Coturnix japonica: one gene and its partner. The main gene of each other region encodes a partner of the protein of the gene in region 2 in a complex. Links are inferred from orthologs where the notes say so. Each region holds a gene or a part of one and is shown on either strand. Other genes may lie near its edges.

What was found.
Region 1: FAM8A1 (region 2) and UBE2J1 share a complex: the UniProt entries of both Homo sapiens proteins name them as parts of the HRD1 complex. The link is inferred for Coturnix japonica from reciprocal best matches to the Homo sapiens genes FAM8A1 and UBE2J1.

The regions. Positions count from the first base shown.
Region 1 is NC_029518.1:68,956,139-68,965,153, reverse strand, and holds part of UBE2J1 (ubiquitin-conjugating enzyme E2 J1), read right to left. Parts: intron 8,632-9,015; coding exon 8,500-8,631; intron 7,750-8,499; coding exon 7,665-7,749; intron 5,693-7,664; coding exon 5,587-5,692; intron 4,477-5,586; coding exon 4,347-4,476; intron 354-4,346; coding exon 222-353; intron 1-221. UniProt on the Homo sapiens protein: Catalyzes the covalent attachment of ubiquitin to other proteins. Functions in the selective degradation of misfolded membrane proteins from the endoplasmic reticulum (ERAD) and is essential for cells to recover from ER stress.
Region 2 is NC_029517.1:66,995,040-67,004,726, forward strand, and holds the start of FAM8A1 (protein FAM8A1), read right to left. Parts: upstream 4,689-9,687; 5' UTR 4,661-4,688; coding exon 4,135-4,660; intron 2,815-4,134; coding exon 2,694-2,814; intron 452-2,693; coding exon 328-451; intron 118-327; coding exon 1-117. Other genes in the region: CAP2 (adenylyl cyclase-associated protein 2), read right to left, coding at 8,618-8,701. UniProt on the Homo sapiens protein: Plays a role in the assembly of the HRD1 complex, a complex involved in the ubiquitin-proteasome-dependent process of ER-associated degradation (ERAD).

The DNA of each region.
Region 1 (9,015 bases), on a different chromosome or scaffold from region 2:
TCAAGGCCAGGGTGGATGGGGCTTTGAGCAACCTGGTCTAGAGGGAGGCATAGCCTATAGCAGGGGGTTGGAATTACACAATCTTAAAGGTCCCTTCCAACTCAAACCATTCTATGACTTTATAATTCTGCAGATGGTAAATAGTACCTAGGGCATAATACTTTAATGAAAGTGTAACATCATGTATTTAATAACCAATAAAACTCAGACATGGACCATACCGTTGCACTTGCTGGATCCCGGAATGCTCGAGTTGCACCATCCTGCTGGGGCTCAGGTAAAGTAGCAGAGCGGTTCAGTCCTGCTGAGTTCGAAGGTTCTGCTTCTGACTTCCTGGACGAATTGACTTCTGCCTGCAAGGAATACATGCACACACTTCAGAGATGAGATCAATGTTCCAAGAAGATTTAAATTTCCTTGGAAATTCATTCCAAGAACGATGCCAACTGCATTTCAACACATCAACACGTTTATGAAAATTTAACCCTTATTTCATAAGACTACAGATAATAAACACCAGTTGAGACAAGATCCCAGTTTTATTTTGGATTTTCTTAGTTCTATTTGTTTATGCATAATAATAGGCATAACATTAATAAAACAACATGAGACCAGAACAAAAAAGAAAATTCTTCAAAAGATAATTGTGACAGAAATAACACCAGCTTTATAAAACTTCCCTTTCTCATGATCCTTAAGAGCTGACCGTGCTGTCACATGACTAACAGCCTGTTTCTCAGCAAGGCTAATTTGCCTCAAGTTATATGTTAAGTTTGCTGTAGTGGTCTGAGTACTAAGATTGCCTCAAAGACAGAAAGTGTACATCTGTGGGGTGCTACCCTGTATCAGGCACTAAGTTTTCATTAAGATTCAGTGCAAGAACTAAGGTAGATGAACATATCCTTATAATACTGTACTATATATGCACATATAAAATGTCTACTAAGCATAATTTTCCAGAATTAACGTTTTATACTTTAGGAAATTTGAGATATTGACAGACCTGTAGGAACATACAGAGGATCATTAATAAGCCTCCTGCTAAAACAGTATGTTTGCAATAACCCATTAGGGATAGAAAGGGACATATCACCATACTCCTGAATTAAAACAGTTTGCAGTATAAACATATCCAAATTTTAAAAACCTTAAAATTAAAAGGTCAGGACCAGATCATCTTTTTTTTTTTCTCCCCCAATCCCTTTGTAAGCAAGTCTCTCCCTGTAGAGTGTAACATCATATCTCCCCAATATTGTATCAGGATCTCAACTTCTTTCAGAGATTACAGTCCCAAATTTAAGGACTGCTACTTGACTTCAAATGGAAATACAAGTAAAGGTAGCATGAAATACAAACATTAGAAACCAACCAGTCATGTAGATAACAAGCTAAGAAGACCATAAAATAACAATCTTCTTCCACACTGCTGTTTTGTGTGGGGAAATTAAATTCCCCATTTTCTGACACTTCATTTTCTGATTTTCCTGAAATACTATTGCCACTGAAATGATCTGAAGATTATTTATAGATTTAAAATTGCTTATAATGTAACAACAATATTGACTTCTTTTTACACTGACTACTATGGACTCTAATATGAGATAGTTAGGACAGCACAAATTTTGTTTCTGATCCACATTAGAATCATATCACACAGAATCATGGAATAATTTAGGCTGGAAGGGACCTCTAGATATCACTGGATCCAACTGTCTCCTTAAAGTAGGGTCACGTCTGTTCAAGTTTTAAGCACCTCCAAAGCTGGAGATGCTACAGTTTGTCTAAGAATGGTACTGTGGTGTTTGACAGTCTGTGTGGTGAATTCTTTCCCCCTCTTCACATTCAGTGGGTACTTCCTTTCCTCAAAACTGTGACCACTGCTCTTCTACTTCTTTAGCACGCATGTGATTTACTTTAGTTTAATAAAGTACTAAGGCTAGAATACTAAAGTCACAGTAATTAAAAATATATGGAATGGACTGACCAGGGAGGTAGTGGAGTCACCAACCCTGGGGGTGTTCAAGGAAAGACTGGATGTTGTGTTGAGGGACATGGTTTAGTGGGAGCTATTGGTAATAGGTGAACGGTTGGACTGGATGATCTTTTAGGTCTTTTCCAACCTTGGTGATTCTATGATTATATATATATATATATATATATAAAATCACTATATATATATTATATATATATATATATATACACTCCAAAGTTTACTAAATTAACATCTTTTTCCAGCTTAGTCTTTTTTCTCCAAGACTTACCTTTGCCCCAGGAAAATAGAGACCTCACAGGAAGATGAACAAATTTAAACATAATAATGAAAGTGGACAGAAAACTAATTTTACTGTTATAATTATATGCCTTATAATGGCAACACATGGATATACCATATTGTTTTACAGAATAAGTGCATACACTATTAGTCATGTATCTTTTAAGTGAAATGGAATTTATGGAATATAGCATCTAAAATGCCTAAGACTTGCAAGTCAATGTTATTCTGATAAAAACTGTAGATCCCTATCAAACACATAAGCTCAAAGAAGCAGGAAAATTAAGGGAACACCTTTTCCTCTTGAATTTCATACTCTTTGTCTCAAGACCAAACGTGTATTTTAAAAAAAATAATCATTTTGCTTAAGGCTGGTATGAAAGAATTTCTTATAATCCTAGGATCTAGAAAACGTTAGGGAATCTCTTCTATAAGGACGAAGATAAAGTAGATATTGCTTATATTATTTTACTAACAGAGAGTTTCACCCAAATTACACATCCAATTGGCTATTCAATGAGAAATCCTATCCCGTAAGCTGACATGAAATATACTCAAATTATTAAAAACTTCTTTATTACCCTGCTAGTACTTTTGTTATAACCACACAAGTTGTATGTCTCAGTCTAACATGACATGAATAATAACAGAGCCAAGCACAACAGAGGTTTAGGAAACTTAAAAATCTGAGAAAGGAAGTTGAAGAATGCCCACAAAAGAGGGCCAATTTACCTTGCATTAGAACAAAACAGACTGAAAGACTGTAAAGAGAACGTTAAAACATGAATCACATCTACTTATTCCTTTAGTGCTTTTTCCCTTCAGAAATTGAGTTAAATATATGGACATATAGAACACATCAATGGTTTTTAAAGACTGACACCCTCAAATCTTTCATTTCAAAAAATGGAAAAAACAAGTATGAGAAAAGAAACTGTACCGAGATGTTTCTGCAATAAAGACTAGCAGTGCTTTAAAAAAAAACAGAACTCACACTTTTTAAAGCTTATACACTGTAAAGAAGATGAGCAGTGAATCTAAATTGCTTTTCTGGGTAGCTCAGCTTTAAAATTCTATGTCTGTACTTCTTCATCCTCGGAAATATTTGGATGAGTTGTTAATCATAAGCAGTACATGTAGACTCCTATATTAACACGTGTAGGTGTGAGATAACAAAGGAATGCACCTGTCTTTCAAAACTGGCAGCGATGCTCAGTAGGAGGTAATCTTCACTCTCACAGCACACAAAAATACCCCACAGTCTTTAGGACAGCGTAAAGAATAAAAATGGGTGATATTAGGTCATACTAGCACTCCTTCCTTGAGTGAGGATGCATTCGATACCGCTGCCACATTGTCACGTTATATTCCACTGTTGATCCCTGCATTCATGTACAGCGCCCTTCCTCAGAGGAAGGATTCAGAGTTTAGTGCAAAACCCAATGAAGAAAAAATACTGTACATGCAAGACATGCAATTTCCTAAGGCACAGATTTTGCTCAACAAGCCTTACTTTCACCAAAACATAAGCTAGAAAACACATTTTGGGGCAAAAGCAACTTTCATACCAGAGTTTAAATTTCAGTATCTTCAGCTGCAGAGTAGTTCAAAAGCATCTGCAACCATTTTTCAGTAACAACATGTTTTATTCCTTCCATAAACCAAAAGACAAATAAATAAATAAAAATCACAAAGAGAAAAACAATGTAGGTTAGCTTTGTCCAAATTTCCCTAACACGTTTCTGACAAAGTCTGGAGAATTTAATCACATTATTAGTGAAAACAAAGAACTAAAAGCAACATACGCAGTTTTTACCAGAGTACCTATAACTGAAATTATTGCTAATTAATTAGTACTTGAGATGCACAGTTTATTAACCGTCACATTTCCAGAGATGATCCATTCCCATTTTTCTCCTTCAGTCTGTCCTAGAAGACTAAAAAGTTTCCATGTAGTAATTTATGAAGGTTTATGAAATACTTTTTTTCCTGCAATTTACTTCCCCCCCACTCCACCCGCACCCAGATTCTGTACAGCAGACCACAAAAAAAAAAGTTTAAACAGTTACTCCACCTTGAAGCTAATTTGTCTGGCAAGTTCTTTAGCTTCCTTGTCTGCCTGGCTTGACCCACTTCCTGACGTTAGTGGTAAGAGGGCTGTCTTCATAGATGTGCCACACATTTCACAACAGAAGTCTTGTGACCTGGCCACAAAATGACAGAGCACAGAATGACACATTCTCATAACGTTCTTGTATGCTTGGTAAGCAAAGTACTTGCAAAGCAGTCCATATAAAGATGTATTTTCAAGACCAATAGCTTTAAAAGCATCTTTCCCATCCCCTCACCCCCATAAACTGCATTACCTTGAAAAATGTTTAATATCATCTATATTACAAATACATATTATCTTTATCATTTAGAAATGATCTACTTTTAGATTTCTCTCAGCCCATTTCATCAGCCTGTCCAGGTCCCTCTGGATGGCAGCACAACCCTTTGGTATTTCAGAGGCTCTTCCCAGTTCTTAATAACCTGCAAACTTGCCAAGGGCACGCTGTGTCCCACCATACAGGTCATTAATGATGTTGAATACCTCTGGTCCCACCATCAACCCTTGGTGTACACCAGCAGTGAATGACTGGCTTCCAGCTGGACTCAATACCCCTGACCAGACATTTGAGCCGGGCTACTCAGCCAGTTCTCAGTCCAACTCATTATGCACTTACCTATGCTATGTGCCACAATTTTTCTCTACAAGGATGTTAAAAGGAAGACAGTACTAAAAGTCATGCCTACCAAGCTAACAGTTCCATTAAAATCCCAAATATAATTTTAAGTTAATTTACTAAAATTATTCAGAAGCCATTACTTCAGATTTTGTTGTTGCTGTTTTATTATGTTCCTGAGCAAAAAGAGGCCTTGTTGTTTGTTTTCTCTATCACTCATGCTTACTCTATCACATTAAATTTCCTTAAGCAGTACGATTACCACTGTATAACAATGTTACTCACATCCCCACCAAACAAATTACAGAGGAACTTCTAATCTGACCACACAATGCTGGCAGGAACACAGCCCTCCCCAAGTAATTTGTTCACCCATAAGTCCTCAACTTGCACAATATTCAGGAAAATAAAAAGATGTAAGGCACAAAATATTCCACTGCTTTGGTTCTGTTTGTTTGTTTTGTCATTTAAATGTAAAACAAGTGCGAGAGAACAGTATTCTGACTTGCACTATTTACTGCTCAATGCCTTACTCAAAAAAGACAGCATATGTGTATTTTTCACAGTAACAAAGTTAATACGTACTTCTTGGCAAGAGCTCTTCTTTCTTCTGGCGTATAATCCAGAGATCCTATTGCTCCTTCACCTTTGGTTGGCATAAATCCAATAATTGCTAGTAAAGCTGTTCTTACTAAAATAGGAAAACAGATAAAAAGTTGCAGAAATAACAGCTACTTTATCTTACTCTGCAATGAGTGAGAAGAGTAGCAGTACTGCCCATAAAACTTGTTTTGTCCAAACGAGCAGTTCGAATTTCATACAAGCAGCACTGTTTGTTTCTTTATAAAGAACACGACTTTCCATTTTTTGAACTTCCCATTATAAGTCAAGGTCTTATTTTACCATCAGTCAACACAGAGAAGGAAAGCTAAGCTGTCACAAAAATACCACATCAGCACAGAGTTCCAAACTTTACTATTATGCTCCAAATAAAAATGGATGGATAAATGAGAAGGAAGAAAGATGCAGATTCATAAGGCATCCTTCTTTCTGGGTATACTGCTTATCAGACACACATTCTGCAATTTGGTGCATAGAAGCTCAGCAACTTTCTTTTACCTGTGCTTCCCTTTATTTTTTACCGTGCGACGTGGTGTAGGGAGCCTGCTTTGGAAGGGGGGTTGGACTCGATGATCTCTAGAGGTCCCTTCCAACCCCTACAATTCTGTGATTCTGTGTGATTCTGTGATGAAGTATATTGCAGTTTGCTCCCTTTATGTTGTCACGTTGGGTAAGGAGCTAACTTAAATACAGATAACTCAGATCACTCAGAACATCTCTTTTTTTGTAATACTTATCCTTTAATTTTGCTTTACATATGTTTGTGAGATTTAAAAATTCAAAGCAGTTTGCCAGAAGATTTGGTAAATAAATATCATATGAACCAAGCACCACAAAATAAATACAGAATGTGTATGTATTCACGTATGTATTCAAATACAGAACACGTATGTATTCCTATTCCAAAGACTATTTTGTGCTCTTTAAAAAAAGTAAAAGATTTTACAGTAGTTGAATTCCTAAGATCTTATCAACATTATTTAAACTACTCAATATCCAAAGAAATAATTAATACCCTGTACTCAGGAAGATAGAAGTTATACATACACATACACACACACACACACACACACACAGAAACATCACCTTGGATCAATTGTGCCAACTCTGAAACTCTTCAGATAATAAAACTTCTTTAAAAAAAAGCATAGAAAACATTCGGTTATTCTCAGCTTAGACCATGACTTTCCTCTGGAGCGCTCAGAGGTAAAGCATTAGCATAAAAGCTGACTACTCTCCTCTCAATTGACACTCAGGCTGCTTTTAGTGATTAGACCAAGGGGAAAAAAAGTGAAGTAATGGAATTTAAAATATTTTAATGTAAGAATGGTTTTTAAAAGTTAAGAATATCTTAACGAGTCCAAGAAATTTTTATTTGGATGCACAAGCATTAACAGCTTACCAACACTCCTCAGTTTCTCAACCTTTTCAGCTTCTGTTTATTGAACAGTTTCCAAAACTTCCTGTGTCCCTCTTTCACAACTTCACATTTCTACAGCTCTCCCATCCTTTTGCTCCCTCAAAAATCTGCCTCCCCTTCCACTACGAGCTCTATTCATTGCAGTTAAGAACACGGGTGTGTTTGCATGGGGTAGAACACAAGCAGCAGAAATTGCATCTCATATCCTTACTCAGAGCTAGGAAGGCAACCTTTCTGTTCTGCTTAATATTTGCAGTTCTGACAATATTTTTCAGTGCCGTTTCCATTTATTCTCCTAATATTATAATAAATAACTAAAATCCTGTCAGTAGCAGCACTGCCTTGTAGTTCAGTCACATTCTGTCAAACAAACCAATGTGAATAAATACATTAATGAACTCAAAACCACAGAAGAGGGTTTTTTCTGCTCAATCCTCAGTGAAGACCAGAGGTACAGCAATTCCAGAGTTTCCTCGAATTCAGGGAAGCACATAAGAGGAGTTTCAGCACACATACTAAGAATTAGTCCAAGCATCGAGAGAAGTATTAGTGAAGTATTACTGTAGCATTCTTTGTGAGATTTTTCAGTGTAAAGATGATTTCCAAATAATTTGTTACTTACTACTCCATGAAGGCTGCCATGTTTCAGGATGATGCCCTGAGATGCTTAAGCAAATTTTCTTCCCCACTTCAAACCTGCCATTAGCCTTTAAAGAAAGGAGGATATAATAAAACGTGAAGTTAATTTGTGCAAAGAAAACAAGTTATCAAAAATATCATAAATCCATATGCAAACAATACTTGATAACTGTATTACTACCAACCTTGCAAATACAGCATTCAGCTTTCTGAATCAAAGAAGTCTGCCAACTACCTTAGTTCATGCACAAAGAGACCCCTACCTGATACCTCATATGTCCCAGTGTGACATAATGGCTTCTCTGTTGCTCCCGTAATCCACACATGTGTGGAGACTCTGAAAGTCTATAGCTCTATGAAATTACACAGAAATACAGGCCTTCACCCATACCATAGATCTGTTTTTCACGCATTAACAGAGACCACGTAGATTATGTAAGTTCATGTAGTTCCAATGCTATAGGCAGGGACATCTTCCACTAGGCGAGGTTGCTCAAAGTCCCATCCAGCCTAGCCTTGCGCACAGCAGTGGTAGGCTGACAACTGGACAAGGTGATGTTAGTGGTCATTTCCAACCATAATTACTCTATTATTCTGTGATCCACAGAGACAACAGGAAGGTTAGACATCCATATAAGCAATCAGTATTAGTTTTGGGGAAGTCTCCCACTTGTAGATCCAAAACTTCATCTAACTACATTATACCAAAGTCACTTTCAAAGACTTCTGTCACTAAACTGGCAGCATTAATTGTACTATGACCCCTGTCTTATAAAAATAATGTTACCTTAGGTGCTAGGAATCTTTCATATACTTACCGTCAGCAAAATAATGCTTGGTGGTTTCATGGGATATTCAGGTGGAAGTACTATCCGTCCGTGATAAATTCCTCCATCAAAATCTGAATCTGGAGGACCTCTAACAGTAAAGTGCCATTCAAAAAGATTGTCCTAAAATGACCACAGCAAGGGAAAAAGAAATAAGTGTCAAGGAAGTTGACATCTAATTATCATTTCTTTAGCCTTTGTTCCAAGGAAAAAATGAATGGCAAGTTTTAAAATAAGGAAAAAAATAAATAAATCAGAAATGAAGATAACCAACAGTATGCTAAGATTTCACTGAAAAGGAAAGATGAAGTAGCTTCCTGGTAATTTTCTTACCAAATGACTTAGTTGGAAAATTCTAATGGACTTCACTCTAGCTGTGCCTATTCATTTCCTGTCAGATGGAATACATGGAGTCAAATACGGGAAAACTCAGTCTTTACCCCAGTGAATACTGGTTTATACAGAACTGAGAGGCTCACTCCAAGTAAGAACATTAATTACAGCCTT
Region 2 (9,687 bases):
CGGAATGACTAACACACGGCTGGGTGCAACGAGGACAGACGTATCACACGTCACAACTCGCAGCCCGAGCAAGAACTTCCCTGGGGTTGCTCCTCCTGCTCCCCAAATACAGATGATCTGCGAAAGAAAACTTACTTCAGTTCCACACAGAGCAGTGTTATTGACTAGTATGGCAAACATGGCTTTCTTCAAAAATAAGTGAGGCCCACAGCTTCACAGAACTCCAAGTAAAGAGGGCTTTACTTCATTGGCCACTGATGATACTTTGTTGTTTATCCGAGAACTGATAACTATGAACTACAGCAGTTAAAATGCAGGAGTAGTTACCTCGTAGAAGCAGACTAATAACCTGTAGATGAGAGCCACTATCATCATTTTCTGCAAGTCTTCCATGGATGTATCTTCATCTATTTCCTCTATTATGTAATGCATAGCAAATTTAGAGATGTCTCTGTTGAAAATAAGACAACTTTAAAAAACAACCCACAAAGCAAAAAACCAAACACGACACAACATCCAGAACTCATTTGTCCCTCCTAGTGCTGGAATTCTCTTCAGCTTCTGTGACATTGAGCCACCCAATACAATTCCTAACACTGGGAGGTGTTCAAGACCAGGTTGGACGGGGCCCTGGGCAACCTGATGTAGTAAATGTGTATGTTTGGTGGCCCTGCCAGGCAGGGGGGTTGGAACTACATGATCCTTGAGGTCCCTTCCAACCCGGGTCATTCTGTGATTCTGTGATCTGTGATTCTGTGAGGTTTCCTTCCAAGTTGCTGTTCAGTTTTTCGTTATGAAAAAATGCATTGTGAGCACATTTGCAACATGACAGTCTATGGAGTGAGCTGCAGAATCGTTAGGAACATTCTCATTCTTGAGAGATGCACAAGGGATTCCACAATCATCTACTTACACACATGGATACAACTATCTTCATTACAGGGTGAGGGAGATGGGAACTCAATGCATTGCTCTCTTATAACTGCAAAGCAGTTTGCAAGTCACCAGACAAGCAAAGGAGACTTTACCCCCTTTGCATGAGCAGGGTTTGCCTTCTCAGCAGTTCCAAAATGCTTTCAACCAAACAGTTGAAACTCTCAGCCATCTCCCCTAACAAAGCAATGCAAAGCTGCAGCTCAGAATCAGCTGTGTATCTTCACAAGTCAAACCACAGATGTGACATCTGATAAGTGGAATGGGCGCACTTGCAACGTGTACTTAGGAGATGACTTTTCCGTGAGCCATCTCAGTTATAATTTCTATTTAAATAGAAAGGTGTGGGCCTCGTGAAAACAAGCCACGCACGCACCACTCGCTCTCCTCTCTGTTCAGGATCAAAAAAGATAGGAATTGAGAGAATGGTAGTACAGCACAATCTGCTCTTCCCTTTAGTACAAAGCTGGCCTGAAGTCTTTGTCTTCAGTGAGGATGTGCCTTACGTGACAGCTCAGCCTGGCCTCCAGCACACAGCTCACCAGGGGGAAAAAAATAGTTTCTGAAGCTACTCGTAAGCAACTTTGTGGCTCTTGCAAGAGCAGCAATATCGAATATACTGTACAGTAACTCAAAAAGATTCTCTTTCAATCACCATTTTTGCAGAAGTGATACACATAAAGCTGTTCTCCAGCTTTCCCGTATCTTCTGTATCATTTTTGGCCTACAAAACTGAGGTAGAAATACAAGCTGCCAGGTTAAGTTGGAGGCTTTGGCAACTGAACAGAACTGAGAGGTTGGCGTTTCATTTGCCTGCTTATTTGAACAGTGACACTGATAATTTACACTGACATTTACTGCTTTGGATCTAAGCCTCTTCCACGCACTTTCAAGCAGCAGTTCAACCTGTCCAAAAGATGTTATGTCTGTAGTATCAGCTTACATCCTATCAACATTTGGAAGGCTCTTTTAGCAGATACCTTCAATTCTGAAATGTAAGTGTATGGACCATACTAAGCCTTGATCTCCTCATAAGATTGAAATATGTGAATATATCAAAGTAGAGGAACTGAATCAGCTACGGAATAAGGAGACAGTATTTAAGATAATTAATCACTAAAAAAAAAATCATAGGATCACAGAATGGCCTGGGTTAAAAAGAACCACGATGATCATGTAATTCCAAACCCCCACTATGTGCAGGGTCACCAGCCATCAGACCAGGCTGCCCAGAGCCACATCCAGCCTGGATAAATACATCCAGTATAAAAACATGAAGACTTTCATTCTGGTATATAGCTGATGCATATGATGCTTATTCCATTTTTCCCTACAGCTTAGGCACAGTAAAGCCTACAGGCTTTAGGTTTCTAGCAACCTTCCAATTGATGCATATTTGACATCATCTGAAATAAAAACCTTTTATGTTTTTTAATAAGGTTTTCCCATTGAGATTTATTTTAAGAGCGTTTTAAAAAAATTCTTGCTAATTCCCTCAAAAACTGAGACTGCAAGTCAGCCTAATTAATCCTTAGTAACAAGTGTGTGAGCCTACAAAATGACTCCACAATTCCTCCCCTTGCCATCAGCTGACCCCAGGTCAGATCTAAAAGGAGGTATCCCATAGTGGGGCTGTTTTCTCAGCCTGTGTCTGTTGAAAAAAGAGATGTCAGATGCGTAACCATAGCACATCGTGACACCTCAAAGAGCACGAAGACCTTAATGCTGTATATAGTAAACCTTTAAATCGTTCTACTTACTTGATCCCGCTGAGGTGCATAATACTTAAAACAATGGTTGCCTTTATAAAGAACAGAATGAAGAAATCCACCATCTCTGCTATGAACCTGTGTGCCAGCGAAGGGATAATGAACTCCCGACCTGCAACAGAAACAGTTTGGATTACCCAGATTGTACTGCACTAAAGAGTGCAATTCTCTCAAGGATGCTTCACATACACCTCTCTGGAGAACACAACCAAGGGCTTTATCTCAGCTCACACCAAGAGTTCTTCTAAAGATGTCTATCAGTTAAAGCACAAATCTGAATTCCTTCAGTTAGATGAGCCTTTGGGTCAGACCCACAAATAGGAGCCCACGACACTCCTGTACTTTTAAATGCAGTAAGCACAATAAAGCAGTGATTATGCAAGAGCAAGTTCTTAACGCAACTCAGCTTGTATCATCCCTTCATAGCTGTTTACGCTGGTAACTCCACATCGACTCTATCTGTCAAGTAGCATGATTTACATAAGGAGTACTAAAATAGATCCCATTTCCATTGCTGAAGCATATCCAAGTTGTCAAATAACTACTAATGGAGGATTCTGTACCTCAGCCTGCCCTGGCCCAGCTCAAGCAGGTAGCAGTAATCAGGCAGTAATAAAGTGCAACTGAAGCCTGAGCGTGCTTTGTTCTCCTGTGCTCAGTGTTTAATACTGGTGACCTGCTACAGCAAGGCAGGGAGGGGCAAGGGGACAAAGCACCTTAAGCCACGGTTACCATACATCAAGAGCTCGCTGCCACCCTGCTGCCTGGCATACAACTAACATCGGTGTTGTGACACTCGGCTGCGTGCAGACTGAGCCGGGAGAGGCTGGGAGAAGCATCACCTGCCCTGCTTTGCGACACTCCAGCTGGAAAAGCACGACGTTAACATAAGCTGTCACTGATTTCAGCTTACATAAGCACACAGGGCTGTAAACTACAGCAGCACCGGGATGGGAACACGCCCTCTATAGCCAAGCTTGCCCCAAGGACAATAATCCACAGCAGAAAAGGAGATATAAACACTTGAGCTGTTCCAGATGCATCCCCTCGCAATGTGGAGCACAGCGGTCGTTTGTGACTCTCCCCTCACACCTGTGAGACTGAGCTCACACCGACGGCACAGCTCTGCCTGCTGCACTTTGCCCTGCACAGGGCCAGGACTCCTGGCTTTTCTCCATGGGCCTCGGCAGCGCAGCTGGATGGCTGCCCCGTCCAGCAGCACTCACAGCACTGCCTGGCAGCCCTGGACTGAAGGAGGCAGCCATTAGCCATTCCCCCACCCAGCGAGGAAGCACCCGCACACTCCCATGCCATCAGACAGTTTGCTTTGCTCTCAAGCAAACGCAAACAGAAGCAGTGCTATACGTGCTCCGCAAATATTTACATCCGAAACAAACTCCTGCGCCAGGCCCCGCTGAACGTGAGCACTCACCTGCCGGCCGACCCGCAGCCTCCCGCTGGCCAACACCGCCGCTGCCGGAGCCCGGAGCCGCTCGGGGCAGCGGGGACAGCCTGGCGGTCGCCGCCGGCCAAGAGGTGTTGGGGGCGGGCGCGGGGGGAGCGCGGGGCCCCGGCGAGGCGGTGGCGGCAGGCGGCGGGGCGAAGAGGTAGAACGGGCTGTAGTAGGCGGCGGGGGCGGCCCCCGGCGGGGCGGCGGGAGGGGGCGGCGGGGCGGTGAAGCGGGCGGCGGGGCCGGCGGCGAGCAGTGCCGGCAGCGAGCAGTGCCAGCTGAGGTAGCCGCAGTACGAGTCCCACAGCCACTGGTGCACCCGCCGCGCGTACTCCGCCGCGCTCAGCGCCTTCCCCGCCTCGTCGCTCCCCGTGGGCGGCGATGGCGACGCGGGAGCGGCCTCTCCGCCGCTGTCGCTTCTGTCCTGGGCGCCCCCGGCCGTGGCCGCCGCTCCGGCGCCGCTGCGGGACGTGCCCGGCTCCGCGCCGAGCTCCGCCATCTCCGGCATCGCCGCTGACGCTGAGCGCCGCCCGCACCGCGCATGAGCCGGGCTGCGCTTCGCCTCTCCCACAGCGGGGAGAGGGGTGAGCAGGGGAAGCAGCTTCTTGTATTGCCCTTGTACTGCCACATGGTATCGCCCAGCGCCGAGGCACGGCTGCGCTTAGGCCGGGAACCGTCTGAGAGCTCCCGAACTGAGGGTAGATGTAGCTCCACAGCCGTGCCGGCTGGATGCGTGTAGAGCCGCTGCGCCCTACTTCCACCATTCCCGCCTCCCTGTACCACAGTGAGCGCCTCAGGAACCGCCCGACATCCGAAAGAACACGGGTGGTTTATCCCACCGACACCTGTGGCAGCAGTAAAAGGGTCTAATCTAATTTGCTAACGCTGGGAGGATTTGTGGATTTGAACTGCAGGCTTGAAATGGCTCACCTTCCTCTCTTCTTAGCTCTGTTAAGTATGAGCGTCACGATCAGTTTGTTTTTTATGACGTGCTTTTAATGGAAATGGTGCTGTGGAAATAGCGGTGTTCAAAAAAAAACAATCTTACATTATTCCAACAAGTAGGTGTTTTTTTCTTCTTCCGCATTTGTTCCCCTCAAGCCTTTTACCACGATGATCTCGTCTTAACAGCGAGGCTTACAGAGCAGTTTCTCAGTCCCTTGGTAGCACGCGAATTCAGTGTTAACAGGAAGACCTCGCCATTGCCCGCCCCTCAGCTGCTCTCTGCCATCTGGTGGAAACGCGGAGTCACTGCTTCGGTATTTCCAGTTTCCACAAAGGAAGCGATGATTTGAGCAACTGAGCCGATATCGCACAGCCGTAAGGATGGCTGAGGCTGCCAGGGTCCTCCCTGCCCACCTGGCCCCAGCCCTGCCCGAACACACCACGGCCAGGAACCTTCTGGAGATTTCCAAGGAGGAGACTTCACAGCCTGTGGGCGGCCTGTGCCAGTGCTCCGTCACCTGCACAGCATAGAAGTGCTGTCTGGTGGATAGACAGAACCTCCTGTGTGTCACTTTGTGCCCAGTGCCCCTTATTCAGGTGCTTTCTACCTGAGAGGCCTGTCTTGGGTTTGGCCCTTCTCCTTCCTGCGCTTCATTAGGTCCTTTTACAGAGGTGCAACTTAAGAAAGCGTGAGATCTCACAAGAAAAACACTGCCTACATTTGAAAACTTAGATCAGAATCTCTCGTGTACCTTACCAGCTGATTTGTAACCTAGTGAACATATGACACAAGCGGGTTTATAAAAATGAACAGGTTAATTACACATTCTTTCCATAACATTATGTGCACCACAGGTACTGTTGTCTGTTTGCATTCAGAGCAGAAGCACGACTTAAAAGCAGCGCGAACCAAGCTGAAATATGTGCCATATCTCATGTGGCAACGTGCAGTAAAAAGAAGGGATTGATAGAATGTTAGGGTTGCTCAGCATTTAGTGCCTCATTCCTTGCTGGAGTCCTATTCCACTGTCTAACACTGTGTGGACTTCACTGGCCTTTTCTCCAGTTACCAGCATTACCTTGGTTTCTCTTAATGTAAGGCCTCCTTCCTTTTCAACCTCTGCTCTCTGACAGAGTCCTCAGGTGTGGTCAGACCTTTGAGCACACAGTGTGACTGCACAGGCCTACTTGCCATTAAGAAACTCATCAATGATTGTGCTTGGGTCTTGCACGTTGCAGGAGTGTGAATGTTGGAGAGAAGGCTTAGCCATAAGGGAGTTTGCTCTGAGATGTTTAAAAGAAGATTGATAGAAGTAAAGCAACCTTGAGGAGGGAGCTGAACTCTTTGGAAGAACTAAAGGAGTTTGTCTTTGTAGCAAGTCAGATCTGCCTCACTGTTTTCTGTTTACCAGCATGCGTTTTATACTTGTTTTGTGCCATACCTCCAGATATCATTTTAGGGAACAAATTATGATTATGATTTGAAGACTAAAAAATCCTCCTGCAATCCTTTCATCACAAGTGCATGATGCTGTTTTTCAGCTATGGTAAACATCTAAGTAAAATATGGGACGGACTGCTCCTGAGTTTGTTAGCACAGGAGGGATACATCCAGAGACATGTAGAGAAACAATGGGAAAAGGTGAAAATAGAAGGTAGAGCTTATAAACTTGCATGGGATGGGTCATGATCATCTCTCTAGACGAAATCTCTGGAAGATCTGGGTGTACCTAGAAATGAGAACCACGAACAGCTGGGTTCCGTTGCTGTCGCAGAAGTTATATGCACAAAACTTCATGTCTGCCAACGTGCAACACAGCCACTACTCACTGTCAGGTAGGTGGTGATGATTGATGAGCATGGTGATGTTTGATGAGATGGGAGGAGCAGCTGCTTCTCAGTTAAGCTTTTGAAATGGCATTTAAGATAGGGAGGGTGTATAGGACAAACAGTACAGCTCTGTAAGCTCCGAGCAACTTTATATTTAAACAAGTACACTTTCCTTTTTTATTTCATAAGAAGTTTACTGTTGAAAAATGGTGTATACTAAGGCAGACACATTATACATATAGATTAAAGATCAGATAGCAAAACCTTGCGGAACGAGCACTACTGTTGTGTTACAGAGGGTTTACAATCAAAGATAGTTAAAAACCCTCAAAGATTAATGTACTTTCAAGGTAAGTTAGGCACAAAATTTAGCTTGTAACTAGCTCTGCAAGCATCTCACTTTGATTTCACCATTACAAAGTATTACAAGTGATCAAAAACATATGCTGGCTGCAAAATTTTAAACTTTTATTGTACTATGTGCTGAAATAGTACAAATGTATACAAGACTCCACCTTTGTTAAAAAAGCATGTACAATAGGGACTATAGAAAGTAGAATTTAAGGGCTGAGTGGGCTTTATTTGGGCTGAACCGATAGGTCTATGGCTTTGATTCGTAGATGAATTTGAAATTGAGTAAGTGTTAGAAATGCAGGGAAGAAACAGAAAGGTATTTTAATCAATAGAAGCTATGACAGCTATAATAGATAGATTTTAAAGGAACTTTAACAAGCAAATTAAGTGATATCTGACATGTGCCTCTCGCCCTGGGAAAACCACCGGCCTGGTGGTGGTATCTCCCCTGCCAGCTTGTTGTATTGCAAGGGTGCAGTTTGAAATTTTAAAGCATGAGGGATTGTCTCAATAACAACAACAAAAGATACCTGTGGAGCAAAAACTTGCAGGTGATTTCCTGCAAGGTGTTATGAGCTCATATGAGGCTTCGGTTTCAAAACAATTCCTGATTTGCAAGAAATGAGAGGGCAACAGCAGGTCTGTATGGACCAGAATAAAATCCTCTATGAAACACAGGGATCTTTATATTAGAAAAGTGTTAGATTAAAAATATCATGTTATTTCATCTTCCATTAGGAAAATGTATTGCTGAAAGTGATCCTTTTTTATTTTTTTGCTTGCTTAAAAAAAAGAAAAGATTGCTGCAGAACTACAAGGAACTGTCATGTAGTTCTTTCCAGGGGTGTGTTTGTACTGCGTTGTACAGGAGTAACGTAAAAGGTGAAAACAAACATCTTAGAGTCTTAATACTGGTTTTGATTAGCGGAAACATAAAAAGGAATGCCCAGAAGCGATGTGATAACCAAGTGTATCATGCAGTATTTTGGCTTAACGAATAAAGTGTTTCAAACCAGTGACGTGACTGGAAGGTGGGGGGTTTCAAGCCATCACATTCACATGACGTCATGGAGAAGTAAAACCGTAAGTGAACTGTAAGTAAAACCGTAAGTGAACTGTAAGTAAAACCGTAAGTGAACTGTGGAAACTTGAGAAATGCTGAGGTGCCTAACAAAAGCGTGCCGGACGGGTTATTGTTTCTAGCATGCACAGCTAATTCTTGAAGACCTAAGACAGCAGTGGGAGCTACTGCTAGTTCTAGTTCTTTACGTTGCTGCGTTGTTTCTGCTGGCTATGGTCTGATCACGGTCAGTGAGCGCTGAGTGATGTTAGGAGGTTAACCCACGATCTCTGCAGGTTCAGTGACCAACTTAGATCCATCCCATGCTGTCTTGAACTGTTCAGGAACCGGAAATTCTTTCTGTTAAGAAACAAAAGCAACAATGATGATTAGACAAACAGCGGATACCTCATGAAAACTGGCGGAATACTATTAGTGCTACATGACTGGGAAAGCACTGAGAGCTCAGACACACCAGGATTATAGAGAGGTCTTCCTCATTACCCTAGGAAGCTATTTTCAGTGCCACACAGGAAAAAGCCTTCCTGCTACCTAGTTTCAAATAGCCTCACTGTGGTACTCCTGTGTAATAATCCTTCTCACACCATTATTTGGGACAGCTGAGTAAATAAACCTCATGTCAGAAATGACTTTAGACACCACCAGCGACTGGCCTGGAAGACAGTAGAAGTGATCTGATGTGGCGATATAGTGAAGAGACTAATTTTAAGAAGGAAAGCAAATGATATAACACAGGAGAGTAAAATCCAACCCATCATTTTACACGTGATATACTTCAAGAGACACAGCATTCTGTGTGGGACAGACAAAACAAAGCAGAACCTTGAAGGAAGTTTTCTTCCATTCCGTGTATTCCGTGAAAGCATGAGAGACATTGGGTCCTCCTTGGTTCCCAGAGAACAAAAGTGTGGAGGAAAGGACTTTTTCTTTCAGATCTCATGGTGTTTTGATAGCCAATAACTTCAGACAATAGTGGCAATTTGATGAGAGACTCGTCAAAGAGACCTGCTTTTATTTCATTTTATTTCATTTATTTATGTATTTATTTATTTTCAGAGGCAGGTGGATGGGTGGATATGCACTCACTGAAAATCATTCCCTTTTTATTTGCATGAAGATGAGCATCCAGTAATCACTCTGGGAAAAGCAGAGCATGCAAATTCTCCTGTCGCATCTTTTCTTTTATGAAGCCTAAGCCCTTCTGCCATACAGTATTCCAGAGTGGGAGATTTATGGCAAATTCAAGTTCTGTCTTGAGTCTTTCATTGCAACTTCAAAACTACTCTGCTGAACAAGTATGCTTTACCTGCATGTTGCCTTGCTAC